Linked DNA regions of Alligator mississippiensis. The protein of the gene in region 1 purifies or fractionates together with the protein of each later gene. This does not show direct contact. Links are inferred from orthologs where the notes say so. Each region holds a gene or a part of one and is shown in the gene's direction. Other genes may lie near its edges.

Evidence for each region. Proteins that work in one complex are often made in the same cells at the same time.
Region 2: the proteins of CUL4B (region 1) and COPS5 purify together in Homo sapiens (affinity purification with mass spectrometry; 12 studies listed by BioGRID and IntAct, counting the BioPlex papers as one, with this or other methods). This does not show direct contact. The link is inferred for Alligator mississippiensis from reciprocal best matches to the Homo sapiens genes CUL4B and COPS5.
Region 3: the proteins of CUL4B (region 1) and GRWD1 purify together in Homo sapiens (co-immunoprecipitation; 4 studies listed by BioGRID and IntAct, with this or other methods). This does not show direct contact. The link is inferred for Alligator mississippiensis from reciprocal best matches to the Homo sapiens genes CUL4B and GRWD1.

Annotation. Positions count from the first base shown.
Region 1 is NC_081831.1:72,374,904-72,384,714, forward strand, and holds the start of CUL4B (cullin-4B), read left to right. Parts: upstream 1-5,777; 5' UTR 5,778-5,866; coding exon 5,867-5,879; intron 5,880-6,691; coding exon 6,692-7,219; intron 7,220-9,811.
Region 2 is NC_081826.1:63,773,435-63,783,179, forward strand, and holds the start of COPS5 (COP9 signalosome complex subunit 5), read left to right. Parts: upstream 1-5,360; 5' UTR 5,361-5,437; coding exon 5,438-5,610; intron 5,611-5,743; coding exon 5,744-5,978; intron 5,979-8,542; coding exon 8,543-8,671; intron 8,672-9,745. UniProt on the Homo sapiens protein: Probable protease subunit of the COP9 signalosome complex (CSN), a complex involved in various cellular and developmental processes.
Region 3 is NC_081828.1:38,508,828-38,518,862, reverse strand, and holds the start of GRWD1 (glutamate-rich WD repeat-containing protein 1), read left to right. Parts: upstream 1-5,650; 5' UTR 5,651-6,370; coding exon 6,371-6,566; intron 6,567-6,796; coding exon 6,797-6,914; intron 6,915-7,287; coding exon 7,288-7,441; intron 7,442-7,518; coding exon 7,519-7,732; intron 7,733-7,836; coding exon 7,837-7,979; intron 7,980-8,158; coding exon 8,159-8,356; intron 8,357-8,509; coding exon 8,510-8,827; 3' UTR 8,828-10,035. UniProt on the Homo sapiens protein: Histone binding-protein that regulates chromatin dynamics and minichromosome maintenance (MCM) loading at replication origins, possibly by promoting chromatin openness.

The DNA of each region.
Region 1 (9,811 bases):
ATATAATAAGGATCTGGACTAACAGCAAGCAACATTTTTCTTCAACAAAAACCTCATCAACAAGTTCTTTAACAACAAGTGCTGTTACATAGGAGGCTAAAGTAAGTGTCAGCGAGGTTCCCAATATTCTAGACTGAACTAATTTTTTACCCAACACCCAATCCTTCTTTATATTGTGTATCACAACATCGTGGTAAACACACTCAGCAAACTTTAGATCAGGTCAGCAGAAGCTTGGTTTGTTAAAGAATGCATTCTGGACAGACTCATACACAACTGGAGAACTGTGAAGAGGTCTGACCTTGTACAACAGGTGAGGCGAGTTCATATAGAAAATATGACATCATAAGCATAGCAACAACATATACCAATCAGCATTTGTCATGACTTTGTTAGTAAAGCGCATGTCTTATGTTATGATTATGTTAGCAAAAATTTTACTATCTCTTGTCTAACTTGTAACTTAGGGTTCAGTTCCCATTTTGGGCTGACTCAGCAGGCTGGTTTGTGGTTACTTTTGTGCTAAGCTTTTGTTTTTTTACTAGACCAGGGCAGGATGGTCCCCATTTTGTGTTAGTCTGGCAGTTTTGGGTCATGCCCTTTTGACTTCCTCATAGCCAAGCTGGGTATATGTTTTTTTATTTATTCTTACATATAATGGAGATTCAACTCCATTTTTCCCTTCTTCCACAACAATAAAATGCAATGTAAGATTTAAGGAGACCAGATTCAAGTTCATAAGAGACACGGGTAACAGAAGAGACTGGAGCCAATCAGAAATACTAGTAGCCAGGGAGCCAGGTCATGCAACCTTCCTGTATTTATCAATCACATTCTCCTTATTGGAAAAGCCATCAATATGGATTTTATTCACATGACAAAGCTCCCTAAAGTCTGAAGAGGTCTAAAGCAAAAGTTTAATCATAGTTTCCATAGGTCAGTAAATGAACTGGTTAAAGAATTAATTTCTCTCATTAAACTAACTGCATAGTAGCTTGAATGTGAAAGACCTATAGCCTGTCTCCCTAGAGTGCATTTCTAGTAGGACTTTTTTCATTCTGAACAAATTGGGAGACAGAATTTCAATTAGTGCCATTAAAAATCAATTAGTCTATAGGCTAATGCATCTTATGGACTTAGTAATCTTCCCTTTCTAAATTCCATCTCAAAATTCTTAGGTAACAAAATGCAATTGTATATCACCTTAATAACTATTTTCTCTCCTTTACATTATTAACATATTTGTAGAAAGTGGTTCTCTCATGTCCCTCAGTCATCACATACTTTCACGACATGCATTTCGCTCCATTAAGGCCTTTTCCTGTGAGGTGAGGCTCTTCGCTCTCTCAGAAGTCAGTCCATCTAGTCATTTTTATTGCTTCTTGTAGTCATTTTTCCCCTAAATAGTTTGTACTTTGCCTCAATATTTCTGCACAGCTGTAACTGATTGGAATTCAGTCACTAATTCTACTGATGATGTTCAAGAATTAACAGAATCCTGCTTATTCCCTCTGAGCTGCTCTGGTTCTCTAACAGTAGCCAAAGCCAGCAAGGTACAACCTGAATACACACAGGGAATAGCTCTATTAAGTAAGGTATTATTCTTAGATTTTCCTTTTCCAAAAGGAAACTTTGCCCTAAATTAATGCTGCATGATTATTTTTTAACTGAGGCTCTGCGTGCTGCCCCAACATATGTTAAAAATATACCACTAGATAAGATGGAGGCTGTTTACTTTAGAGGAGAAAAATAAGAGACAGTGATACTAAGTAATTATTAATATGAGAGTACTAAATCAAACCATTCATTCATTCTCTCTCGTAATACAAAGACAAGGAGTCATCCCCTGGACTCTGAAGTGAGAAGACTTAAAATGGATAAAAATATTTTTAATACAATATACTATTTGTCCATGGAACGCATTACCATGAGGTATCATAGAAGCCAAGAGCTTCAAATGACCTTGACATTTATACAGATCAAGATATGGTTACAATAGCAAAAAAAAAATTTTAAATTCTACAAGGACTAAATAACTTCTACAGGAGAGGAGTTAGGATGAAAGAGTCCCTGTAAGCAGGTTAAATCCATAACTGTACTAAATCGCATCATTTTCTCTAAAGCAACTTAATGTCAATAAATGAACCGCTAGTCTGATCTAATATGGCAAGTCATATGTTCTGGCAGGGACCAGATTTTGTCCTGGTATAATATATCCGAGTCTCTCAAGAACCATCTTTAGTTTAAATTTTAAGTCATTTTTCAAATTTACTTATCATTCAAACATTAAATGAATCCTATTTTATTGTTTGTAATCATGTATCAAATAAGGTATATACAGAGTTCTCTTGGTGGTTTTTTTTTTACTTACTCTTTGCTAACATCTGAAAACAGATGAGGACTGGACTGGAAAGTGACCCAGTGTTACTGTATTTAGCAATTACCTCGGATGAAATGTTACGGCTATGGTACAACAATACCTTTATTATGTTCTCAGAAACATTGCTCGTTTGTTAGTTGCAGACACAGCACTGCTTTCTTGCGTGTTATTCCACTTTCAAAAAAAAATAGTCCTTCAAAAAGAAATAAAAGGGGTAATAATTACTAATCTGTGTTGAACAATAAATCCTGAAACAGGGAGAAAAGACACAACTGTCCTCAAATATAGTCAAAACACAAGCTCTCTTTTCCCAAATTTCTAACCCCAGACCAATGCCCTGTCTGCTACCTGGCGAAAAAAGATCCGTTTCTCGGAAAGCGGGTGCTGACCCAGATAGGGAGCCGGGCAGAGGAAGAGATCTTGGTGCCACAGGTGAGAGAAGGGTATCCCGGACTTCCCTGCAGGATCCTGGCAGGTGGAGGAGGAGCGGATCATCTATGACCTCCCAGGAAGATCCAGCTGCCAGAAGGGGGAATGGGTTCTGGTGAAGATAATTATGTTTTATAGCATTTATTAATGGTTAATGCAGTATCAAGCCATAGACTGGATAAAGATGGATCTAATTGATATATTATTTTATCTGGTTTGAATAGAAAAGACATGCATAAGTTTTATCTTCATAGAGCTAATTGCTAGAGAAAGAAAATGTATGTGTGTAGAAATCTCTTTTCTACTAAAGCCAGTGGGAGTTTTACACTAATTTCAGTGAAAAATACAGGATTGAACGATCATTCATGCCATTTTTCCAAGCACAATGACTTAGATAATTGTAACACTGTAAAAATAACTAGAAACTAATACTTAACATAATGAAAGTTTTATAAATATCATCATTTATTCAAATACTAAAAAAATGTACAGCTAGGAATAGTGATTAATATAAGGAGTAGAGGCCCTCTACCAAACAACTTTTGCACTCTTAACTCCCAGGATCAGATTCTAAATTATAAATGATTTAAAACCTTTAGAGAACTTGAAGAGAAGCAAAACACTGAAATGCAAACTGATGAAGGCTGAGCTATTAAACTAAAAAAGATTAAGGATAATACAAGCAAATACACTTTACCGTTCTTATTACATTACTTGTAATTTTGCATTCATCCACTCATCCTGTTCTAAATTCAGCAGAGAACAAAATTGAAAATACACTGCACCTGGAGAAAGCATTCATAAGTTATTTTTCTGCACATCAGTGCAGTTCAGTGTCATGTCTCAAGAGCCCTCGCTATTGCTCAAACAGAAAACATATTCCAAAAAAAGCTTCAGTAAAATGACTTTATGTCTCTATGAGCCACAATTTCTGTCAAGACAAGTTAACACAGGGTTTCCTATCAAGATACAGCTGCCAGCAATCTCCCCTGAAAGAGCTCTGCTGTCAAAAAGGCAGGTGGAAGCTCCCATCAGCAGTCCTTTGAGAATTCCTGCACCAACCGACTTCAATAACGCCAACAGCTTGTTTTGTTCCTTTGCCCATAGATAACTGTGAGTCCTTATTGAAGCGGAACAGCGTACTTGTGCGATTCTTTTTGTGATGATAAAAATACACAAGCGTCACAAAAAGGTGTTTAAAAGGGATCTATAATTCCCCTCCTCCCGACACAAACCGTTCCGATTCAGAACTCCAAAAAAGCCAGTCTTATTTTGACTAATGTTTGCTCAGTTTCAGCCTAATGCAAATATTGCAAACCTCTCAAAAATAACCTAGCTGATATTTGCTAGGGGAAAACAAAAACTCTTCCCTTCCAAGAAGGAAGCACGTTCCAGACTTCAGTCAGGGTTTCAGAGCAGGTTCAACATCCCCGTTTAAATAACTCACTAGTTTCTGTGCATTAGTTTCTTTTTGAAGGAGCGAGCAGGCTAATGATGAAAGAACAAACCGAGGACCCCAGAAATCTAGTCTCTGGGGGACAACAGGTGCAAGAGGTATATCAGTCTTAAAGCACGTAAAACAGGGTGCTCAACCTCCAGCCTACGGGCCAAACGCAGCCCATGGAGCTGGGGCATCCGGCCTGTGGGGCCCCCCACACTCCCTCCCTGTGGCTGGATTGGGAGCCAGGCCAAGAGCGGGCCCACATGCTGTATCGGGCTCACAGGCTGGATCCAGCCCATGGCCTGAGCCCCAGCCATCCAGCCCAAGGGGGGGGAAGGCGGGGCACCACTGCTGGAAGACAGGCAGGGGCAGAGAGAGCAGGTCGCTGTGTTAGCCTGGCATCAGGCAGAAGGCAGGCAGTCCTGCTCCTCTGAGACGTCTGTAGACAGGAGAGCACCTGCTGTCCTGACCTCAAGGTGAGCAGATGCCCATGAACTTGGGCTCAGGCAGCTTATGCTCCCCGTCTCTCTAAACCAGTGTTTCCCAACCAGCGGGCCGCGGCACAAAAGTGTGCCGTCAGAAACGAACAGGTGTGCCACAGGCTGTTGCCACGGCAACAAGCCACAATAGATGTAAGGATAGGGAATGCCTTAACAGGTGTTCCACGGGAAAGTTTTATTAATATAAGCGTGCCTTGAGCTGGAAAAGGTTGGGAAACACTGCTCTAGACACCCAGGGTGCTGAGCTCACCTACACGAGGGCAGCCCCCCACCTTCCGCCTCTGCGACGTGCAGGGTTAAACCACCACCGCCGCGCTCCGCCATAAACGAGGCGGCGCGTGGAAGGGCTGCAACAGCGCTGCCCCGGCTTAAATAGGAAGCGGTCGTATTGGAAGCACCAAATTACTGTATTTGCTGAAAAATAATTGCATGCTAAAAAAAAAAAAAAATAGGCACACAAGTTTTACTTGACGTTGCTCAGCCGTAACTCCAGCGAGCGAGCGAGCGAGCGAGACCAGGGTCACCCAAGCTGAAGTGCTTCTTTCTTTCATAAGAAAGCGCTGGCAGCAAACCCAGGAGGAGGCTCAGGCTCCGGCTCCTCTCTCGCTTGCTCCCAGGGCCTTACGGCTGAGGGCAAGCAGAGCTCGGGGGCATCCGGACCCCAACGGGCCCGCACGTGGGACGCCCGCCAAAGCTTTTGGAAACATCGGAAGCCCCAGGTGCGGGTGGAGGATATTTGCCAGGCGCAGGGCCACTTATGGGTCTGGACTCATGGAGTTGGAATTAGTTTTGGCTAATTTGGCCTCGGCTACAAATTAAATTTAAAAAAATAAATAAAAAAGAAACCCCAGGGTGCCTGTCGCGCCGCACTAAGCAGCTGCGTCCAACAGCGCGGCTCTGCTCGTGCCAGGGAGGCAACACCGGGCGCCCCGCCCCCTCCAGGGAGACCCACCCCTCCCTGGCTACGGAAACCCGCGGGGCTCAACCCGGAGCCGCCCCAAGCCCCGCCCCCACACGCGGAGGGGCCGTGGCCACGCCCCCCACCGCCCGACGTGCGCACGCCGCAGCGCGGGGCACAACGAGCCGTCCCGGCGCCCGGCGCGAGCCGCCGGCACCATGATCACTTCCGGTGGGTCAGAGGGGAGCGGAAGGGGGGGCCGCAGGAGGCGGCGGCGAGCGGGGCCGGGCGGCGCGGGGCCCCGCGGGGGGTGGGGAGCGGGCGGGAGGGCGGCTGCTGCGCTTCTCCTGGCCCGAGCTGGGGCAGGCGAGCCCTCCGCCGCCGCCGCCGCTCCGGGTGGGGGAGCGCTTCCGGGCCGCGGTGTCCCGGCATGCCCCGCGGCCGGATGTGCCGCCATCTTTAGGGCCCCTCTCTGCCTTGTATTGACAATAACAAGTCCCGATCCGGTCCCCCCTCCCGGACAGAGCAGGAGGCAGAGAGGGGGGAGGAGGGAGAGAGGCGAGAGCAGGCTGGAGAGCGCCGGCTGGGGCGGGGGGCAGCCGGCAGCGTCCACGGGCGCCTTCCCTGCGGAGAAAGGGGCAGGAGACGGAGGCGGAGAGGGCAGCAGTTAGGAGCCCCCCGCGACGGCTGAGGCTGGGCCTGGACAGGAGGGTTGGGAGGCGCTAGCGGGCGGAGAGAGACGGGGAGAGCGAGGCCCTGCGAGAGGAGTGGGGGCAGGAGGCTGCCAGCGACTACTGAGCGGAGACAAAGGAGCAGGGGGAAGGGGGCGAGAGGCCGTCAGGGGCTCCCCTGAGAAGGAAGGAAGCCGACGAGACGGGAGACCGGACGACCCGACATCCCGGGGGAGAGAGAGAGAGAGGAGCTGAGAGACTCTTGATCCGGCAGCCCCGAAACGGACTCGGACTCTCTCTCTTGGTCTGTCCTACCACCAGGATTTGATGCCCCTCAGCCTGCTCACCTCTGTGTGTTCATGTTTCCCACAGGTTTCTCTTCCCCCAACCCCCCAGCAGCAGCTCAGGAGGTCAGACCTGCCACTGATGGTAGTAGCAGCAGCAGCAGCTCCTCCTCCTCCTGCAAGAAGAGAAAGTTAAACAGCAGCAGCAACAACTCGGAGAGAGAAGAGTTTGATTCCCTTTCCTCCTGCTCCTCCTCTCCTTCCAAAAACAGCTCCTCATCCTCATCTTCCTCCATCATCACCACCTCTTCCTGCTCCTCCTCAGGGGGTGCCTCCACCAACCATCACCTACAGAAGAAGCTGCGCTTTGAGGACTCCTTGGATTTTATTGGACTCGATGTGAAGATGGCTGAAGAGTCTTCCTCTTCCTCTTCTCCCGCCGCCTCTTCTCAGCAGCAGCACCAGCAGCAGCTCAAAAATAAAAGCCTTTTAATTTCTTCAGTGGCCGTTGGGCACCATGCGAATGGTCTGACCAAAGCTGCCTCCTCTACTGTTTCCAGTTTCGCCAATAGTAAACCTGGCTCTGCCAAGAAGTTAGTGATCAAGAACTTTAAAGGTAACAGGCCATAATGTGAAGAGTTGACACACTGCTTGTATTTTATGTCTATATGACAGCTATCCACTGGGCTTGTAAATAGGTATAAGTTCTACTGGAAATATTCTTTGGTGGTGACCCCCCGAGCGCGTGTAGAAAAAGGGGAAAGTCATCTTTTTTTATAGTATGGGATTTATGACACTGCATACGCACTTGGAGATTTATGTCACTTAGGATTGTTTTTTGGACGCTCTCAGTGTACCTGTGAAGGACAGACTTTGTTGTGGGCATTTAAGAAACGTCTTCTGGTGTGAGGTTGTTTTTTAATTGCCTTTATTCAGAATGGCCGTATTTGATATTGCCTTTGAAGTAATCCTGACTCAAGTCACAACAGTAATTTAGTCCAGGTCATCTAATAGCTCATAGCACAGGGTAGCCACTTGAAAATAGCCTCTTCTGCCTGGTGTCTTTCCATTTGTTAAGTTTGAAATTAATTTAGATTTTAAAATGATTATTGATATTTAATGCTTGAGCACTTTGTGGATTGACGCTGAGCATCCTGCTACACATTTTCCTGGCATTATCTGTGACCCATTACTTTTATGTCTTCTCTTCTTCACCTATCTTGACTCTTTTTTCTTTTCTTTCCTTTTCCATTTTTCCCCCTCTTTATTCTGCCTCCTCCCCCCCCCCCAAAAAAAAAGGGGGGGGGGTACCTGCTGATCTTCCTGCATGAGTTTGGGTTGTTGAATGAGGCCAGGAAGTGTTGTGACTGAGCAGATACCAAAGCTTTGGATACCATGTTGCTTGAACCTGAGCTACTCCGTTTAATAGCTACTTTATGGTTTACTTCCTGGAGTAGGCAGGGAACATGCATAGCTTTTGAGCTGCTGTCTGTTATTTATGTCAAAACTTGGGCAAATCCAGGGTTCATGTAGTTCTCTTCGCTGCTTCTCTCTGACACTTTGCACTAATTCAGAAGCTTCCTTCCCTATTCCATTTCCTTTATTCATGTTGAAAAATACTGATTTACATAACTTTTTTTTTTTTTAATCCTAAGTAATGCTAGTATTTTATTGGTATTTGAGGCAGGGAGGGGGGAGTCTGGTAACTCCACTGTTCCAGTATGTTGTAAGGTATCTATAACGAGCCCCAATTTATATGGGGCTTGTTATAGATACCCTACAACATACATGGATTAGATTGTAACGCTGGTTTTCCCAGTGACATGAGGAAGTGTTCTTCCACTTACCCTACTGCCACATGCATTCCTTATTCACTTGCAGACTCAGAATATTAGATTAAGGCATGATCCTGAGAAACTGACTTTCAACCATGGCTTTCTTATCTAAAGTAGTGAAATTTAGGCAGTGGCTTTTTACAACTTTTTTTAATTGCTGTGGATTTTAGTTGCCTATTATGAACTGCCATGTTGGCTCCCACCTGGCAAACTAGTATATATAAAATGTATCAGTTTTGTGACTGCCCTTCTTCAGCCTTTCATGTTGAGGAAGTAAGTTTGACCTTATCTGAGATGCTAGTAATGTTTGATTTCTTTTTTTAAAACAATACCTTTTTCCAATTGACTGTTAAGTCTTAGGCAGACAAGATTATTCAGGTAAATATGATATCTTTTATTAGACCAACTGAATAACTGGAAAAATTGCTTTTTGCCAGTTTTTGGATATAAGCATCCCTTTCACTTCACTCAAACAGTAAAAAGTGAGCTGGTCTCATTTCTGGTTAGATTTGCTTTTGAGTTTAAGTTCTGGCATAATGATGGAATATCTCCAACACTGGAGAAAAATATTAATTAACAGCAAATATTAGTTTTACATTTTGATTTTATCCAAGGGGAAAAATGCAGAAAAGATTTGTCTTTAGAAGCTTGTTCACACTTGGCCTGATGAAGCTCTAGAAGTGACCGATATAACTTCCTCCCCAGCCTTCTTTCCCTTTCTTCCCCACCCTGCAGTGTTTTCACTGGAACAAAGATAATCACTTGAATTAGAATTTTGAAAATATAAGTATTTGTCAACTAGTTCCGTTTCTCCTATAGTTCCTGATAATTTTGAGACCTTAAGGTATCACCACAATCTTGCCTAAAAGACGTTGAGATCTTTGAGCATCCTCATCTATCTTGATCGATATTTTCCATAAGGATCTCTGTTAAACACTACAAAAGCAAATTTATATCATGGATTGTAAGTACTCTCTCTCTCTGCTGCATATCTAGTCCCTGCCAGTCTAAATTGCTGGTATTCATGGTAGAGTCCTTGAACTGTGCTGATTAATAGTAAATGACTAGATGTTTTTCTTTCTTTTTTTTGTAAGTTGATAGAGGAGCAAACATTACAAAGGCCTATATATGTACATGCAGTTGTTTTAGCTCCGAATATCAGTCATACAGTTGTCAAAGAACTAGCTTCATTTTGCCAGTCCTTGGTGTTTCTTTCCCATTCTGTTGGCTGGTGCTTCTATCTTAATAAAAAGTCAGTACTGATGAGAACAGACTAACACAATTTTATTTTCTGAGCTGCTAGATTTTAAGTACAGTTGGATTTGTAGATCACTATATGATGTCAGTGCTACAGCTGTTGTGGGACATAGGCA
Region 2 (9,745 bases), on another chromosome or scaffold:
ATTGTTTCCAAACCCTATTTGGAGACATTTTTTTAAGTTAGGGAATGAATGCTAGTGAGAGCTGCAAGAGTCTCTCTCACTCCAAAATAGATAGTATAATGAGCTATCTATAATTATATTTTTTACTTTTATCAGATACTGATCCTAAGCAATATGAAACATTAAGGAAAAACCAAGGCAAAATGCCTATTAAGATTTATTTTTACTATACAAAAATTCATTTAATGTGAAGAAAGCTCAAAATTTTACTCGTAGTAAAATACTGTACCTAAACAGACTAACAGAAATACAGTTAATTCAGCATGCTACCTTTAACACGGCTATAAGGCAAGAAGCACTAACAAAATTTTGCTAAGGAGATAACTAGATAATTTTATGCCACTGCTTTTGCTTGAGAAGATCTTTTAAAATGTGCATGGATTCAAAGTTTGTGAAACAAGCACAAGAGTCAACTGCCAATTAAATTATTAGAAAGGATCCTCTACAAGAGAAAATGAAACAGAAGAAAAGGAAAAGGGGATACAGAGTTTACTTGAGCATTTTGAAGGCTGTGCATCCACAGCTGTGTTCAGATAATACACCAATGCTCAAGGGAAGAAAAACAAGTGATTTCATAAAATTAGACATTGCACCAATGAAGAGTTATTTAAGATTCTGCTTTTAGTTTAAACCATTGAAAATCACCAGATTCCCCATTTTCATTTTTGTGCATATACATGTAGACACATGCAAGAATATTAAAACTAGCCAAAAACAACAAAAATCCCTTCAGACAACACCCCCCTTGCTAAGTCCATTAAAATTGTTTATATGTATGCTACATTGAACATAGTACTAGCTAATTTTGTGATGGCTCATGCTAAATGCTATCATTCGCATATGAATCTGTAGGACACTACAAAATAATTTGTTTAAAAATTGTGTTATTTTATAGGAGCCTTTGAAATTAATCAAAGTAAATGGAAATATTACAATGTATAAACTCAAAAGTGTTTGAGAGGGAAGGATTTCTTGGGGTGATATCCTTCATTGCATTAACTATGTAGTTGAAAAAGTTGAGACAAGCTTTCAAATGCAACACAAATGTCATAGGCACAGAGATCCCACAAACATCTTACATGCAAAAGCTTGTCTAACTTTATCCCAGCTACGTTTGGTCTAACGAAAGATGTCATGGTCAGAAATCTTTGCCTCTTGAACACTTTTGTGCTGTTACAAAGTAATATTTCCAATTACGTAGGTTAATTTCAAAGGGATCTGCTGTCAAAGGTTGCTACAAAAGGACAAAATTCTCAAATTGTTTTATAGCATCCAACAAGCTCCTACACAAATGACCATGTTTACAAATGTCTTACATTCAAAATCCTGTCTAACTTTATCCCAGTGACACAGTTGGTCCAATGAAAGATACCACCCTAAGAAATTATGCGTCTGGCATAACACATTATGCCTGTGGCATCACTTCTGGACCATCACAGCTATAATATCACTCTTACCCTACCACAAGTGTTAACATTTATTTAAAATGAAGCCAACATGCATAAACGCAACGCGTAATGGCAACAAGGTAGTCAGCTGAGAAGCTGCAAGTGGAAGCAAACAAACTGCCGCAGGCTGTGCTGCGTTTCAGTCCTTCTAGCCAAGCAGAAAACAAGCAGACAGCCCAGAAGAGGAGGATTTTGAGGAGCTCATGCTGAAGACAACTAAGCACGGGCCTGCTTCTGCCAACACCAGCTCGGCTTTACCACCAGGAACAGTTCAGCTGCTTTCCAACAGACGCGCTCCCGCCAGCCCAGCACAGCCCGTGCCAGTCTCTTCTCTCCAGTTTAGGCCCCGAACCTGAAGCGACTGCGGCAAGACGCCCATCACGAGAGGGGAAAGCCTCGGGAACCGGCCTGGGGAAGCCAGGCCTTTCTGCTCTTCGGCTGTCTTAGCAGAGGGGAAAGAAAGCAGCAGTGGAGCCAGGGTCCAGAGTCCCCCCACCCCAGCTTAATACTACCCGCAATTTCCACCAGGATCCCTGCAACCTCTGCTGTCCTAATGCAGCCGCAGCCCCAGACCCAGCCCCGCGCGAGGGAGAACAAGGCAGGAGCGCCGGAGCCGTCTCGGGCGCTGGAAGCCCCTGTCCCAGCCCCCGGGGAAGAGGCAGTCGAACCCGCTGGGAAGGCTGCTGGAAAAGCTGCAGCGGGGCTTCCCCTCCTCGTCCCGCCCCTACCCCGGCGGGGACCCGCTCTCCATGGCGGGCAGCGCCGCCGCAGCCCGAGCCCGCTCCGCTGCCGGCCCGGAGCAGACCACGCGACCACCACTGACCACGTCCCCCTGCAGCTCCCCCCCGAGCGGCGGTGGTACAGCCGCCAGGGGCGGCTCCGGGCACGCGCAGGACCCCCGTGCTCCCCACGCCCGCCAATGGCATCGCCCCGCGGCACCGGGAAAGGCGGGGCGTGATGACACGCGGGGCGGCTCCGAACGCGCTCCCACCGGCCAGCCCCGCGTGCGGCCCCTTTAAGACGCCGCTCGGCGTTGTTAGGCAACCAGGTTACAACAGAAACCGTTGCTGGGGCCTGCGACAGCCCTCCCCGTCGCCCCCGCGAGACGCAGGCCCCCCGCCTCCCCAACGCCCCGTACCCAGAGCCCGGCGGCCCTGGGGCAGACCGCGCCGCCACCTCACCGGGGGAAGGGACGCAGGGGCCGCCGCGGCGACACTCAGCGGCTCCGCGCGAGCTCACAGACGCAAGCTCCGGCCGCCGCGCGCCTCGCTTCCCGCCTCGCCGGCCGCGGGCACTGACGGCGGGAGCGGCCCGCAGCGCCCCCTGCCGCCTGGGAGCCCCGCGCCGCAGCCTGAGCCGGACGCCAGCCCTCCCACGAGCCCCCAGGTCCGCACACGGGTAGTGCCCCCGCTCCCACGCCGGGATCCCCAACACGCCCCAGCCCGACTGTGTGAGACCCCCCCCCCCTTCCCTGCGCGCACTGCCGGATCGGATCCCCGCGCACCTGGCCGCCCAGCCGCAGGCCGGGCTCACACCCCCGCTGGCTTTAACGTAGGAAAGTCCTGCAAAGTCAGGAAGAAAAGTGTTTTTTAAAAAAAGCAGGGAGATCATCTGGTGTCGCGTTTCTCTGGTGGCTTCCTATTAGGTCACCCCTCTCTAGCCCAGGATGGAGGCCTAGAATCGCAGACTGGAGCAGCAAAATCACAACAATGACACTGCTAGTCACAGAGTGTTTTTAAGTCACTGTTTTCCATCCTAGGAGCGCTGTTACAAAAGTCATTTGCTGGGGCAGCAGACATGCACATCCATCCAGGAGCCTAACCTTGTTAAGTGTTCCCTTCAGAACAGCCTGCGCTTCTCTCATGGACGTTTTTCTAGCAAATATTGCTTCCATGTTTCTTGGCAGATGGAGGAGACTCCCCTCAACCTTCTCCCCCTTTTGTCCAGTGTTGTGTCTCTTCTTATCTCAGGGGCCCAACACATTACAAATAGGATGCAGGAACAATGTAATGTGAATGTCACAGATAAATACGCCTGAGGAAGGCTGTGGCGCCTAAAAGCTTTCAGAGAAAGATCATTTTGTTGCGATTTCGTAGTTGGTCTAATAAAAGGTCACCTCTCAACCAAAAGTTCTAGAGTTTTGCATTTCTTTTTGTCTCAGACCAATGCAGCTACCAAATACATCCCTGAAACATGGAAGATGCTGAATTTTAGCTAATTTTGTATTTAAGGTTCATTGCTAAACAACAAGAAAGATTTCTACAGCTCCCTGCCTGCCATCTGGCAGCACCAGGGAAGGAATCCTGCCTGATCTGCACATCAAAGAGCAACTCAAAAGACACTCAGAGGAACAGACTTCCACCTTCCGTTTCCTCTGTGCAAAAGTAAAGTTTATTTTCTACCTACGGGGACTTTTTACCATCATTAATTTTCCCTGAGCCTGAGGAAGGGCATGTGTGCCCAACAGCTTGCAGAAAAAAGAATTTTTTTTGGTTTTTTTGCAATTTCTTAGTTGGTCTAATAAAAAGTATCATCTCTGAGCCAAGAGTTCTAGAGTTTTGCATTTCATAGATAAATATACAAAATCCAACTGACGCTCCTCCTCCCTTGTTGTTTTACAGCTGTAGGTCCTGGCCTACCGACTGAATCTCTCCAGGTGAAACCCGTAGGGAGCAAGACATCCACCAGCTCCCAAGTGGGTACAGTTGTGAGGCTGGGGCCTCATGTAGGGGCACTGTAGGCTCCTGCTCCTGTGTACCTCAGACTTGCTCACACCTCACTGACTTCATCCCGGCACACGGTTCCACCCCAAGGGATCCCATGACAGGGCCCACCCAGAAATGACATGGTCTTTACCTAAAAAGCCTTTTATTTCGATGCGATACAGTCCTGAATCCTAGAAAATTAGGATTGGAAGGCACCTCAGGAGGTCATCTAGTCTAAATCCCTGCTTAGAGCACGACCGTCCCCAACTACATTATCCCAGCCATTGGTAATGTGTAGCAGGTCCACATGGGTGCATGCGCACCCCCTGAGATTGGTGGCTGCTGCTGACACTGCTGGCGGCATCTGTGGGCAGTCGCAACTCAGCACTCGCCACCCCCACACCTGGCCGCCGACACTGCTGTGTCCGCCTGCGGGCGGTCCCCGCTCACTGCTGCCATGCCCCTGCCGCTGCCTGTGGGAAGTGGCCATGCTCCCCACCAGCCTCAGGAGGCAGGAGGCATTCATGATCCCAACCAAGGCTTTGATGAGCTGGGCCTTAAATCCTCCAAGGATGGAGGTGGCACCACCACCTCTCTAGGTGACCTGTCCCAGTGCTTCACCACCCTGAAGAAAGTTTTCCCTAATATCCAAATTAAATGTGCACGAGCAGAGCAGTAAAAGATGGTGATGACATGCATATTAAAGGAAGAATTTAAATTAGGATCTCCATCCCACAAAGCAAGTGTGCATTCCCGTGGTCTGCCTGCAGCACAAAAGCCTTGGGCTCGGCTACCGTCCTCTGTGCCAGGGGGAGCCCGCCAAAGTCCTACAGGGTGGTCAGGGGCTGCGCTCGAGGCCCAGAGCTGGGACCAGAAGGATCAGGGTCAGGAAATGTAAGCTCAGAAGCAGCTCCAGTAGTGCGGCGGAGCGAGGGCGTTAGACAGATCCTCGCCGCGCTGACTAGGGTGATTTAGTGGGCGCTGGTCCTGCTCCTAGCAGGGGGCTGGCCTAGACAGACCCCCGAGGTCCCCCCAGCCCCGTCCTCTCGCCGCCGGCACTCCCGCGGTGCCCCGGCGGGCTCGCTAGGGGGCGCGCGCAAGAGCCAGTGTCAGGCCCTGCGGCCCGTACCATTCCGCGTCCCCCCCCCCCCCCGCGCCCGGTAGCCATTTTCCACTTTCTCCGCCGCGCCGCGTCCTGCCCCCTTACCCCCGGGCCGCGGTGGTGGGCGCGGCGGCCGCTCGGGCATGGCGACGGCCGGGGGTGCTGGCGGCGGCGCGTCAGGGAGCGGCGGCGGGATGGCGCAGAAGACGTGGGAGCTGGCGAACAACATGCAGGAGGCGCAGAGCATCGACGAGATCTACAAGTACGACCGCAAGCAGCAGCAGGAGATCCTGGCGGCCAAGCCCTGGACCAAGGAGTGAGCGCGGGGCCGGGGGTGGGGGCTGGGCCTGGGCTGCCCCGCTCGGGGGGCGGCGGAGGCCCCTGGCCGGGCCGGGCCAGGCTAGGCTGAGGTGAGCTGAGCTGGGCGGGCCGGTCGCGTGCCGTTGCAGCCACCACTACTTCAAGTACTGCAAGATCTCGGCGCTGGCGCTGCTGAAGATGGTGATGCACGCACGCTCGGGCGGCAACCTGGAGGTGATGGGGCTGATGCTGGGCAAGGTGGACGGCGAGACCATGATCATTATGGACAGCTTCGCCCTGCCCGTGGAGGGCACTGAGACGCGTGTCAACGCGCAGGCGGCTGCCTACGAGTACATGGCGGCCTACATCGAGAACGCCAAGCAGGTGCGGGCCCATGCGGGGTAGGGTTGCCAGGCCTCCAGGGTTAGAGAAACATTTCCAGGAGACTGCTGAGAGTTACCTGGGAGATAAATGATAGGACATTTGTTAAAATAAATGTTAAATGTTGGATCTGATTTATACGGTAGTCTAGTGGGTTTTTAAAATGTAATAGTAATGTGCATTTGTTTTCCCAACGTAAAGTCATTAATATCATTATATCATGTGATGAAACCTCCCAGAATAGATTCAAACAGTTGGCAGCCCTAGCACAGGTCCCTGCTTGGTCCAGGCACCTCACACCTGCCTCACGTGTTGTTTCTTATCGGGGAAGAGGAGAGGGGTTGATGCTCCTTCCTGCTTGAGTTCAAACCGACTCCCCTTGGCACTGCCCCCCGCAGCACAGAGTGGGGTTTCAGCAGCAGGGAAGGGTAAGGGAGCAGGTTTCTTCCCAAATTGGCCGTACCTGCATTGTGCAGACCTGAATTTTGACATTTAAAAACAAAGAGCAGAAACATCTCACAGATGCAGCACGCTTTCTCCCCTCCTCACCCCTCATTTCCTAAATCCCTCTGGAAATGCGCTTTATTCTGTAACCACACCTAAACCCTTTGCAAAAGGTGAAAAAAGGAGGAGTATGTGGTGGTCAGTGCTGCTTCAGGGTAACTCTAATTTGTGAAGGTTTACTATGCAAAATGCTTGGGGTGGGAAGAAAGGAGTGATAATTGTGAAATGCCCCCCTCCATCCCTAAAAATGTCATGAATTTTTATGTAGGCCCTGATCCTGCACTGGACTCTGCACAGGCAGACAGGACTGGGCCTTTAATGTCTGGTAGATTCACAAAGGAAATTGACAGACAAGGTTCCTTGGGTGAATTTGATATCTTTTATTAGACCAAAGGAAATTGATACACTTATGCATCTCCTGTTACTTGATTGATGGTCCTGTACAGCAGAATGAGCAAGAGGGACATTCTGAAATTTTAAGGCCCATTCTGCCTTGAGTTACCATTGCTGAATAGTACCATTGCTTTTCTATGGCTAACCATCTCTCTCTGCTCTAATTGGACAGATGTTAACCTCTGCAGGATTCAGCTGAAGTCAGTGGACTCCCCTCTAGTGTCAGAAACCAACCAGGCAAAGATAGCAAGATCAAGGAATTATTAATCCTAATCACATTTGCACTCTGACTGTTTAGTTATAGATGTCAGTGCAGATTTTGAATCGGGATGAATTATAACATGAGAAAAGACCAAACACAGTAGAAGTTGGTTTTGTTAAAAGATATAGACTTGTTTTGCTTATTAGGGCTGTTTTGGTCCTTTGTCCTGATTTAAGCAGGTGATTTTGAATTTTCTCTTAATACAGTTATATCCACAATATATGGAAAAATACCTGAGATGTACTAGTATAATGCTATAATATTTCACTAGGTTGAAGTTATAAACGCTAATTTGAAAATGGTAGTGTTGGAGTGAGGTTGTAGTTATTATGGTCCAGGAAATGAGAGATTCCAACTGTGTCCCTGACCCAAAGAAGGATGTCATGCATTTGGAAGCTTGTTTAAATCTATCCTAACTGTGCAGTTGGTCCAGTAAAAGAGAGATCACCCACAAAAATCCTTGCTTTGTGCTTTCATTTGAAAATCATATTTCCATCTCAAAATTAGTACCTACTCTTCAGTTATAATAATTTTAGGGATAACTTGTGACAGTGTTTCCCAGAACGTGTTTTGCCCTGTTTCTGTTTTGTGCACATTTGCATAGAATCATTTTTCCCATTTTGTTGATCACTTTTGTTGTCTCATGCATTAGCACAATGACTTCATCCTTGTACAGTGCTCTAGTGAGCGTTCACATTCTGACTTTTTCACAGGCCTTGAGAGAAGAATTATTGCCAGTAACAGAATGTTAAATTGTTTATTTTGTTAATACTAGGTAGCAAGTTGTTGGTGTTCTGTTAAGTGAACATTTTGGAAATGACTTCGATTTTGGTTCATCGTTTTTTGTGCACAGGAATGAAAATGCACAAAAAAGTGTTAGTGTTCTGTTTCTAGCTGTTCAACACGTAAACATTAAAAAAAAAAAGTTCTTTTATTTTAAGCCTTTAGACTTTTACCTTCTGCAAAAGTCATTTGTTTAGCATCCATTGACTTCATTAGATACAGCATCTTATCTCTTGCATGTTCTGTCTTCCATTATTGTTTTAAGGATTTTTAATTGCTTGTTATGGTGTACATTTGACAAAATTGATTGCATGGTATGAATCCAAAAGATTATATCTTAGATGATGTATGGAGGAGCAAAGTAGCTGATGATTGCCAAGTATCAAGATATACCTTTCATTGTAGTCATGAGCTGTACTACGACTTTCTTAAAAAATATATTGCAAAATAAGGCTCAAGTTTTTTACTGACAATTCTACACCAAGTTTAAAGAAACAGTAAGTAGATACGTTACAGGGAAGGAAAAATATCTGCAGTATGTGAAAAGTCCAAAAGAGGGCAGCTGAAACTTTAATTTTATGTGGAGACGTTAACAATACACCTTCTTTTCCTTCACGTTTGTTAGGTTGGTCGTCTAGAAAATGCAATTGGCTGGTATCACAGTCACCCTGGCTATGGCTGCTGGCTTTCAGGGATTGATGTCAGTACTCAGATGCTTAATCAGCAATTTCAGGAACCTTTTGTAGCAGTGGTTGTAAGTATTAGATGTTAACTGAGCACTTGGTAAACTGATAACATGATGCAATAATTAGACTTCATTTATGTTTATGTTGAGTTTTCTTACTGTCAGCTAACCTGCTAATGCTATCTTACTTTGTTTTATGGAGGGATAATATTCAAGCTTCAGTTCGGTATTTTCCCTTGTCGAGTTTTTTGGCTATCTGCATGGCCAAGATGATGGTAAAAAACAGCTGTTTCATTGGTCTTAACATTTGCTGTATGCTTTATAAACTGGAGATGTGGCTTCCCTCCTTTTGACCCAATAGCCTTATGACTAGGGCATCTATCTAGGGACTTGGAGATTCATGTTCTAGGCTCTCCGCAGCCAAGGGATGGGATTTAGATCTACATCTCACACTTCCCACAAAGGTGTAGGATAAACAGGGCTAAGAGCATCTTGCTATCCTACTTCTTGAAGCTTGGTCTGTTGGGCAGCCAAGAGGGGCGATTTGTGAAGCCACAAAGAAGGCAAGCCGGGAGGAGCCTACATTTTCATAGATTCATAGATGTTAGGGTCGGAAGGGACCTCAATAGATCATCAAGTCCGACCCCCTGCATAAGCAGGAAAGAGTGCTGGGTCTAGATGACCCCAGCTAGATACTCATCTAACCTCCTCTTGAAGACCCCCAGGGTAGGGGAGAGCACCACCTCCCTTGGGAGCCCGTTCCAGACCTTGGCCACTCGAACTGTGAAGAAGTTCTTCCTAATGTCCAGTCTAAATCTGCTCTCTGCTAGCTTGTGGCCATTGTTTCTTGTAACCCCCGGGGGCGCCTTGGTGAATAAATCCTCACCAATTCCCTTCTGTGCCCCCGTGATGAACTTATAGGCAGCCACAAGGTTGCCTCTCAACCTTCTCTTGCGGAGGCTGAAAAGGTCCAGTTTCTCTAGTCTCTCCTCGTAGGGCTTGGTCTGCAGGCCCTTGACCATACGAGTTGCCCTTCTCTGGACCCTCTCCAGGTTATCCGCATCCTTCTTGAAGTGTGGCGCCCAGAATTGCACGCAGTACTCCAACTGCGGTCTGACCAGCGCCCTATAGAGGGGAAGTATC
Region 3 (10,035 bases), on another chromosome or scaffold:
CCAACCTGCTCCCTGCCCCGTGGTGCCCCCTGCTGGTTGTCTTCCCTGCTGTGTACAGCCTGCAGCGTTGCTGAGCTGGTAACTCAATGTCACCCTGTTGGGGGGGGGGGGGGGGGTGCTGGCACAGTGCCGGCCAAGGGAACGTCGGCAAGATGAAACCATAAATCAAGCGCCGCAGGGCCTGGGTGTTTGTTTTGCTGTCACTCCCAGACAGAGGTGCCTGTAACGACAGTTGGCCACAGGCTGGGGACGAGGGCAGTGTGACAGCTTTGTGCAGCTGCAGGAGACCCCTCTCCCAGAGACCATCTAGGCATCCACAGTCCTACCTGGGCCCTCCCATGTCCTGCTCAATCCCCAACTGCATTAAGCAGGGGACAGCTCCTAACCTCTGGATAGTTCTGCATGCCAGTGAGAGGGACTGGGAGCCAGGACTCCTGGGTTCTGTCCCAGCTGTGGGGTGGAAGAGTGAGGACTGGTGAGTTAGTGCAAGGGGAGGCGGGTTAGGAGCCAGGAAGCATTCTCCCTCAGCTCTGGAAGAGGAGTGGGGGTCTGGTGTGCTGGACCAGAGAGGCCAGAAGCCAGAACTCCTGGGTTCTCTGCAGCTTGGGGGCAGTGGGGCCCAGTGGGCTGGCACAGGGTGTGCAAGTGTCTCTGTGTGCATTTGCTCCTTGCCAGTCTGCACCGACTGCTCGAGGCCCTGGGAGGAAGGTGACTTTGGGGTCCCCCGGGGGCTGCAGTGCTGGCAGCCCCTCCCCCGCACCACTCTGGAGAGCAACGTTCATTCCCAATTATGACATCAGCCTAATGGGGGCTGGGGCCACGCCTGGGAAAGGTGCAGACTTACTCCCAGCAGGGGGTGGCAGTGCGTGGTGACTCCCCCATGCCCCAGAGCTCTGCCGGACATGCATGCCCTGACCCCATGCCCCTCAGACAGCCTCTGGGGCAGGGCTCAGTCCTGTCCAAGGGGCCCCAATCCGCCCCCCTGGGTGGGGGCACTGGCTGGCTGCCTGTGCCATAGGCACTACTTGCCTGTGTGCCTGTCCATCCCCTCCCATACAGCTTCCTGTCTCTCCCATCCCAAGCCTATCCCGGCAATGATTCCCCCCCACACCACCACCACAGTCCTGCTCCAAGGTGATCTCGCGCCTGTCTCTTAATGAATAATAAATTGCCAGGAACTCAAGGACTCTGGTGTCACGTCCAGTTGGCAGGGTAACAGACCGGGAGGGGATAGGGAGAGGCCACAGCCCCCACCACAGGGCAACCCTCTCCAGCCACTGGGATGCGGTGTTCACCATGGGGTGGCCACTTCTCAGTGTCTCTGCACGGAGTGGGGCAAGGCAGGCCCTGTGGGGAGCTGTGTGGCAGGACTGAGACCCTGCAAACTCACCACAGCCAGGTAATGCACAGTGAGCTTTATGGTACCTGCTAGTGAAGGACCAACACCCCTTAGGGACAGGCCCTTGGCCCCTCCAACCCCCTGAGCCAGCCAGTGCCCCATGCTAAGGCTGGATGGGGTCCAGTGCCCCCCAAAAGGAAAATGCCCCCAACCCATGCCCCTGTCTCAGAGGCCACCTTGGCTCTAGGAAGCCCCCAGCCGGGGGTCTGACCTCTTGCAGAACTGTGTCTGCTGCCAGCCTGGCCCTGGGCACACGCGGTGGGTAATTACTTGTTCATTACCAGCCTAACAAGCTGAGCAGATGGTTAGGGAGAATCCATCACTGAGCACGGCTGCTGGGGAAGGCGACAAGCAGCCACCAGGCCAGGCAGGGGGAGAACCCAGGCAGCGGAGCTCCCAGCCACCTCCCAGACCCCACACCCTTCCATAAGCCAGGAGAGACCCCAGGTGTCCTGATTCCCAGCTCTAATGCACCAAACCCCACACCTGGGGAGAGAACCTGGGAACCCTGGTTCCCCACCCCCAACTCTGCCAGTGCTCCCAACTCCTAGCCTATAGCCTCCGGCCAGCCCAGCTCCTGGTCTGGGTTCACAATGCCCTCATCAGCCATGGGAGATTCCTGGGTTTTCAGGTTCTTCCCCAGCAGGGCAGAGACTCTTCAGGAGCTCAACCCACCCTGGGAGCAGGACAGGCCTGTGTGTGTTTAGTGTGTAGCCGCAGTGGGGAGCGCACAGGCCAGTTATACAGGGGCCCCATGCCCAACCCTGAGATGCAACTGGCTCTGGGGTGGAGCATGTTGGAACCTGCTTATACATGGCCCCTTCACCCAGTGCTGAAATGTGTCTGGCTCTGGGGCAGGGTGTGTCAGGAGTGTTCCCCTTACCCAGCATGGGAGGTGTCTCAGCACTGAGGTAGGAGCTGAGTGGTTTCTGGTCTCGGAGCTGGAGGAACACAGCGTCTTGCAGCCTCAAACTGTCAAGACAGAGCAGGGCCGACCAGGAGGGAGAGGTAGATTGGGGGGGGGGGGGGGCGGTGATGGGTGCTGGTGAGATGGGGATGCAATAGGTGTGGAGGGAGAGAGAAGGCTGAGAAGAAGGCAGGGGGGCGGAGGGCAGGATGACAGCTGGCAGAGCCAGACTGGATGGATGGATGGATGGATGGATGGATGGACGGATGGACGGACAGATGGACAGATGCAGGGGGGAGGCAGACAGGTAAGGAGTGAGCAGGAGATAAATGAGGAAGAGAGCAGGCTGGGGGGAGGGGGGAGGAATAACTGACAGATTCAGGGACAGGCGAGGTTTGGAGATGGATGGATGGATGGATGGATGGACGGATGGATGGATGGACGGACGGACGGACGGACGGACGGACGGACAGACGGACAGACGGACGGATGCAGGGATCAATGGACGGGCAGATGGATGGATGGGGCCATCTTGTACCAAAGGTAAAACCCCTGCAGGAAACTGGTCCCCCTGCCTTGTCCCCACCCCCTGCCCCAGCCTGTGCCCCTTCCCTGGGGCCGGATCGGGTCCAGCGCCCCCTGGAGGGGCCTGGCCATCTGCCTCATGTCCCAGGCAGGTGGTGCTTGTCTGTGTCTCTGCCTTTCACCTTCATTTCTTCTTCACTTGAATCTAGGCTGACACAACGCAGTCCCAGCCCCGCTGCCGGCAGCGATGCTTGGTTTAAGGCAAAGATTTGATCAGGAGTTACAACCCCAAGGGGTGTTTATGCTAAACACACTTCTGAAGCACGGCATGAAAGGGCAGTGGAGGGGCGTGAGCTGCGGGGCATGGGTGAGGGGCACTGCCAGGTCTGGTACCATTGTGGGCAGGGCTGCTTTGGGACCCCCCTGGGTCACACATAGGCTCCATTCCCAGACCCCACAGGCCTCTGCGCTGTTCCCCCAGAGCTCTGGCAGGGTAGGGGCTGCCCTTGCTTGACCGTGACCCCTGGGAGTGGAGCAGGTAGAGCAAGATGCTGATTCAACAGGGGGCTGGCAAGCACCAAGGACAGAGCTAGTGTTAGGGGCCCACTTGGGGACTGCAAAGAAAGCAGGTAACACATCCCCCACCACCCACCCCCTGTAGGGTCCAATTCCCCACCCTTCCCCCATTCCTGCATGTCGGTCAGTCATCCCTCGGGCAGTGCAGGGACATAACCCCAGGAGGAGACCTGATGCCCCCAGCCCCCTCCTCGTATTCTGCTGGGGGGCGGGGGGGGGGGGGCAGGAGGGGCCCAGGTCCCCAGACTGGTGCCAGGGGGCACCGTGCTGTAAGCACAGCTCAAGGAACCAGGCACAGCCATGGCAGGGAGCCTGGGCTGAGCCAGCAAGGGATGGGGATAGGATTGGGGGGGGAGCACAGGCAGGGCTGGGGGGGGGGGGGGGGCAATGCAAAAGTTTTGGTGTGGGGTTACCTTTGCCAGCCACCCCCATGTCTGCCTCTCCTTCCCCTGCAACTAGCCTCCTCCTCTGCCCTTCTCAGTTGCTCTCTGCCCCCCACAGAGCCGTCCATTTCAGCTGACCTGCCCTCACATAAGCCCAACAGATCAGCCTCCTCTCAGCCCCTCCCCAGAGAGCCCACAGACAGGCATCTCATTGAAGTCCTGCTAGGACCAGTGCACCCAGGAGGGAGATTGGGGGGTCTTCCAGCAGAGTGGCTCTTAGAAGGGACCCCAGGGCTGGCAATGCAGGGGTCCTCCGTAGGGGGTGCTGCCCCCTTTGCCTGGCAGGGGTAGCAGCAAGGTGAGGTTTCTTCACCTGTAGATGCCAGCCCTGGCAGGGCTGAGGGGTCTCTGTGGGCCCTGGCTGTGTGTGGGCTATGCATGAGCTCCAAAGACCTGCAGTCCGTGGAGACGGAACCGGCTGCTGCATTTAGCTGAACTCTCAGAGCTAAGGCTGGGGTTGGGGGGATGGAATAGGGTAGAGCTTGTTTATACAAGTTCAAGCTCCTGGGAGCCTGATGCCTTCATCCCCGCACTGCTGCAGACACCGCCAGCTTGGATACAAGGGCAGTGGCAGGGCTGGGGGGGGACCAGGCCTGGGGGAAGGGGCATGCTGAAGGAGTAGCCCCTTGGGAAGGCCCTCTCCTCTCCCAACTAGTGCCTCCCTGGGGCTGTCCAAAGGTCTTTCTGCCCTGCCAGGCCTTTCTGCCCTGCCCCAGCCCTGTGTTCCCTGTGCCCACCTGGGCACTGAGCTGCCCCTCCTCTGCCCAGACAGGGGCATTTGTGCATCACCAGCGACACCTGGTGGACAGTCCCTGCAATGACCACTCTCAGGTCATCCTGCAGCCCAGGACTCCCCCCAAACAGCCTCTTCTGCCAATCCAGTCCTCTGCCCCACCACCACCACCCCAGGACCCCCCCCCCCCCCCCCCGCCCAGCCCAGCTGACCCACAACCCCCTGATAGACCAGCACGAACAGAGCTCTGAGGTAAGGACTGGGGCAGGGGCCACAGCAAAGCGTGAGGCTGGGGGGATGGGGGGTGAGGGCTCATTAGAGGCACAGGGATCCCAGCAGGAGCACTCTCAGCAGGCAGCCCAGGGATGGGGGTGCCAGGGAGCTCAGCACGGGGTGCTTTGGAGAACACCCTGCTAGAGTGGCTCAGTGGGGGAGCAGTGGGAGCACTGCTGGGGGGGGTGTAGGCGGGGGAATCTGTCCTCAGGGGCCACTAGGAGGTGCTGTGCTGGGGGATTCAGCCTGGGTGCTGTGCTTGGGAGGGAGTCTGCAGGGAGCCTTATGCTGGGGGCATAGCAGGGGTCCCGGTGGAGGAAACTGTGCTGCATTGTTCCCAGCCCAGCTCAGCCCTGGCATGGAGGGAGCCTTTCCCTGGTGTTTCCCTGCCTTCTTGCAGGGCCCATAAATCCCTAAGTGAGAACGGCCCGAAGGCCTCCAGCTGCAGCCGCTGTGCTGTGAAATTCACTGTGCTCAGCCAAGCGCAGGGGTCGACCCCGTAATGGGGACTGGGTGCACGAGCCGTGAAGTGCCCGCTGCAGGGAGCCCATTGCTCACGTCACTTAGTGCTTGGCGGGGCTGGTGCAGGCTGCAGGGACTGGCAGGGTCTCAGGAGGGCGGGCAGCCAGGGATGCCCCCAGGCCCAGTCTTCTGGGTGCTGAGCTGCAGGGCAGGGGGCTCTGATGGGACCCTGTATTGGGCAGAGCACAGTATGGGCTGGTGGGGAGTCCAGCAGGGCAGGGAGGGGGCTCTGCCCACACTTTGGAAGGGGAAGTCAATAAATCCCCATCAGGTTGCTATGGAAACCAGAGGGGGCTGCAGGAGCCCTGGGAGAGCCTGGGATGCTGATGATGTCAACAGGGGCAGCAAAGGCACTTGGCCCCAAGTGATGACATCAAGCCCTGGGTTGACATCACCAGGCAACCCCCTCCCCATGAACCCAGCCCTGATGATGTCGCCCAGGAACCTTTTTATGTTACCCATTGCCTCCTGTTGCTACAGCAATGCCACTGACTTCTATTAATTGCTTCTTGGCAATGGTACCATTGAAACTTTCTTGTTGCTATGGCGATGACTAGAGGGCAGGAGAGGCTCCCTCTAATATGGTGGCTTTCCACGGAACCACACCTGCCCGTAGTAAAGATGGCGTCTAGGGATGCCTGAAGACTACATTTCCCAAAATGGCGCTCGGCCACCCTTTCCCGTAGTCAGGATGGCGGCCACTTCTCATTTCCCTTTTCAAAGATGGTGGCCCCACGGCCAAGCTTTTCTCCAGGGCCTCTGGCCAGTACCTATTTCAAAATGGCGGCAGAACAGACAGCTATTGCCCACTTGTAAGATGGCGGCCGCCCCTTTCCCAGTCCTATTCAAACACGCAAGCCGCGGTTGTCTGGTTCCATCCGCAACATGGCGGACGCTGCCCCTTCTCAAGATGGCGCCTCCGCGCCTTCCGGCATGAGGGCGGAAGTGGGGCAGACGACGCCTGCCCGGAAGTAGCGTTGACCTGTGCTGCGATGGCGGACCCAGCGTGGCTCAGCGACGACAATGGGGACGGCGACAGCAGCAGCACGGAGGAGATGGAGGGGGACGGCGAGCCGCAGGCGCCCGCGCAGCGCGTGTATGTGCCGGGCCGCGCGCCACCGCCGGGGCAGAGCGAGGAGCTGGTCATGGACGAAGAGGCCTATGTGCTCTACCAGCGCGCGGGCACCGGTACAGAGCGGGGCTAGGCACGAGCGGGCAGGGCCTGGGGGAGGGACTTATCACGTGGGGGCGGGGCCTGGGGAAAAGGGGCAGGACAGGGCCGAGGTCCTGGAGGTGAGGGGTTGAGGGTCAATGGGGCCCTAGGGCAGAGGGGGCAGAGCTGGTTGGGAGTCACGGCCCCAAGGCGGTGGGGCAGAGCTGGCCTCGGAGCTGACCCCATCTCTCCTTCCCTCCCATAGGTGCCCCTTGCCTGAGCTTTGACGTGGTGCGGGACACGCTGGGCGAGGGGCGTGACTGCTTCCCCCTGTCCCTACTGCTCTGTGCCGGCACACAGGCTGAGACCGCCCAGGCCAACAGGTCAGGCCCGGGGGTGTGGAGGAACCAGTGCCAGAATTGGCTCCAACCCACATACCCTCCTGCGCCCAGCCAGGGGGCAGGGGTTGGAGCTGGGATACTGGGCTGGGACTCAGCAGAACTTATTGCACATCCAGGGCACTGTGCATGGGGGAGGGGGTGAGGCCTGGATCAGGGGCAGCAGCCCCTGGAGACAATAGGCTGCCCACCCCATTTCCACTCTGTGCACCAGCCAGTGCTGCTGCCCCAGGGTTGGCCCAAGGTGGGAGCCACCTGGAAAAGAAAGGTCCCTGCCACCTCCCCACCCCTGGGAGTTGGTTGGCGACTGTGTTTCCTGGGTGTCTGTAGCCTCAGCAAGTCCCTCTCCTGTGGGCAGGCTGCTGGTGATGAAGATGCACAACCTTCATGGCACACGGAAGGTTGCCTCTGAGTCCGAAAGCAGTGAGAGTGAAGAAGAGGAGGAGGAGGATAAGAAACCCCAGCTGGAACTGGCCATGGTCCCCCACTATGGAGGCATCAACCGTGTCAGGGTATTGCTGACTCCCTACCCCACATGTGCCCTCCCTCTAGCTGTCCCAGCCACAGTTAACTCTTTTATTCTTGGCAGGTGACCTCACTGGGCAGCGCCCACATAGCGGCTGTGTGGTCTGAGAAGGGCCAAGTGGAAATCTATGACCTGAAGTGTCCCCTGGCGGCCCTGTCCGACCCACAGACCATGGTCACTTTTCTGCGGGAGGAGCAGGCAAAGATCAAGCCTCTCTTCTCCTTTGCAGGACATATGACTGAAGGGTTTGCCCTGGACTGGTCTCCTAAAGTGGCAGGTGAGCAGGGGCCACAGGTTGGGAGTGTGGAGCACTGGCAGAGCTGGGGAAACCCAGTGAGGGGCATCTACAGAGCTGTAGCCACCACCTCTTCTGTTTTTTAGGTCGTCTCCTCACAGGTGACTGCAACAAGAACATTCACTTATGGATGCCCAAGGAGGGTGGGACATGGCATGTGGACCAGCGCCCTTTCACTGCCCACATGGCCTCTGTAGAGGACCTGCAGTGGTCACCCACTGAAGCCACAGTAAGCAGGGACCTTAACCTAAAGCACTGGTGAGACCAGGGTGAACAGCCTGTGGGACTGAGCTGGGGCAGGATACTCAGTTAAATTGGCCTGGGGGCAGGGAAAGGAGTGGAAGACCAGGCTGGATGGTCCAGGGAGGTGGGCTATGCGGTGCCCCTCACTCCTTGCACTCTGCCTAGGTGTTTGCCTCATGTTCGGCCGACGCCTCAGTGCGAATCTGGGATGTGCGGGCAGCACCAAGCCAGGCCTGCATGCTGACAGCCAGCCAGGCCCATGACAGTGATGTCAACGTGATCAGCTGGAACCGCCACGAGCCTTTCATTGTCAGTGGCGGCGATGATGGCACCATCCGCATCTGGGACCTGCGCCAGTTCCAGGTCAGCATGGTGTCCCTCATTCCTGACCCGCAGCCCCATGCCAACCCAGCCCTGACCTTCCCCAAGCCTTGCCTCTCTCCTAACCCACAGACCACATCAGCCCAGCCCTGGCCTCCCCCTGCCTCTCTCACCCTCCCCCTCTTCCTTCTGCAGAAAGGCACCAGCGTGGCCACATTCAAGCAGCACACAGCACCTATCACCTCAGTGGAGTGGCACCCCACGGACAGTGGGGTGCTGGCAGCTGCAGGGGCTGACAACCAGGTGACACAATGGGATCTGGCTGTGGAGCGGGACCAAGAGGCTGAGGGGGAGAGTGATGACCCGGCCTTGGCCTTCATCCCCCCGCAGCTGCTATTCGTGCACCAGGGCGAGACCGACATCAAGGAACTGCACTGGCACCCGCAGTGCCCTGGTGTCCTCATCACTACCGCCCTATCCGGCTTCAACATCTTCCGCACCATCAGCGTGTAACCCTGGGGAGGGGCAGCTGGGGCACAGGGACAGCCCCACACAGCCTTGGGACTAGGCTGCCAGAGCCAGGGAATGGCCAAGTGCCCCTCCATCAGCACCGCGTTGCCTTCTCTCCCTCCCAGGACTGTTTTGGCTGCCGTTGCACAGGATACCTGCACACTCTCTCTTAAACCAGCATCCATGCTATGCATCCTCCTTCCCTTCCACCTTGCAGATGATGTCTCCCAGTTACAGGCTTCTACCATTGCACAGAAAAGGGATGTTGAGCAATTTGGGAGATCAGTGTTGTGTCCCCCCACCCCCACTTCCTTTTCTGTTGGTGCTGCTGGTAGATACTGTTACACAGAAGGTGGGGGGGTCTGTTTTTATAGTAGGTGTATAACACCCTCCTTGTCTTTTTCAGGTGCCAGTTGCTACCATTATCCAGAATGGAGTTGGGGTGGGAGGAGCAGGCATAACCACATACATTGGCTGGAAAGAAGGGGTGGAGGGGACTGTCTGGAGAGTCAGCAGCAGTTAGGAGTGTCTCTTCCCCACCCCCTTCTCTCTGCAGATGGAGTAGCCATGGATTGTATGAAGCAGCATCAGCGTCATCTCTCCTCCCCACTGGGCAGTGGTTACTACCATTGTGCAGAATAAGGGGACTAGCAAAACTGTCTAATTCCGCCCCCCTTGCTTATGGACTGTGCCAGCTTTCACAGCACTGAATGGGGGAATCCGCTAGCTCAGCTGGGAGTGGAAACTTGCATTCAGCATCAGGGAACCTTGTGTCCAACTGGAGCTGGGCTGCACCTTGTCCTGAAGAGCTGTGGCCTCGGTGATGCTGACCAGTAGTTTACCAACCATATATTGTACTTGGGTCATTCAGAGTGTGACAAGGGGGGGGGGGTGTGCAAATTCTCAGTTCCCTTCTTTATGCTGGGATCCTTCCAGATGGATCCTTCCAGACCTGGTAGCCACCACTCGTATGGGGGTGGGGACAAAACCTCTCTCTGGTTTCAGTTTTCCCATTTAAAGAGGGAACACAAATTTTATTCAAATTCCACCCCCACAGTAGTTGGGTTGCTCCAGAGCCGGTGAGAACAGGCACTACCACCTGCAGAGGGGGTGTGGGGAAGGCATCCTCTTCCTGGCAATCCCTTCTGTTCCCCAAGGAAGGAAGTTGGAATAGTCCAACTCCCTTCTTGGGTACTACCATTTTGCACTCC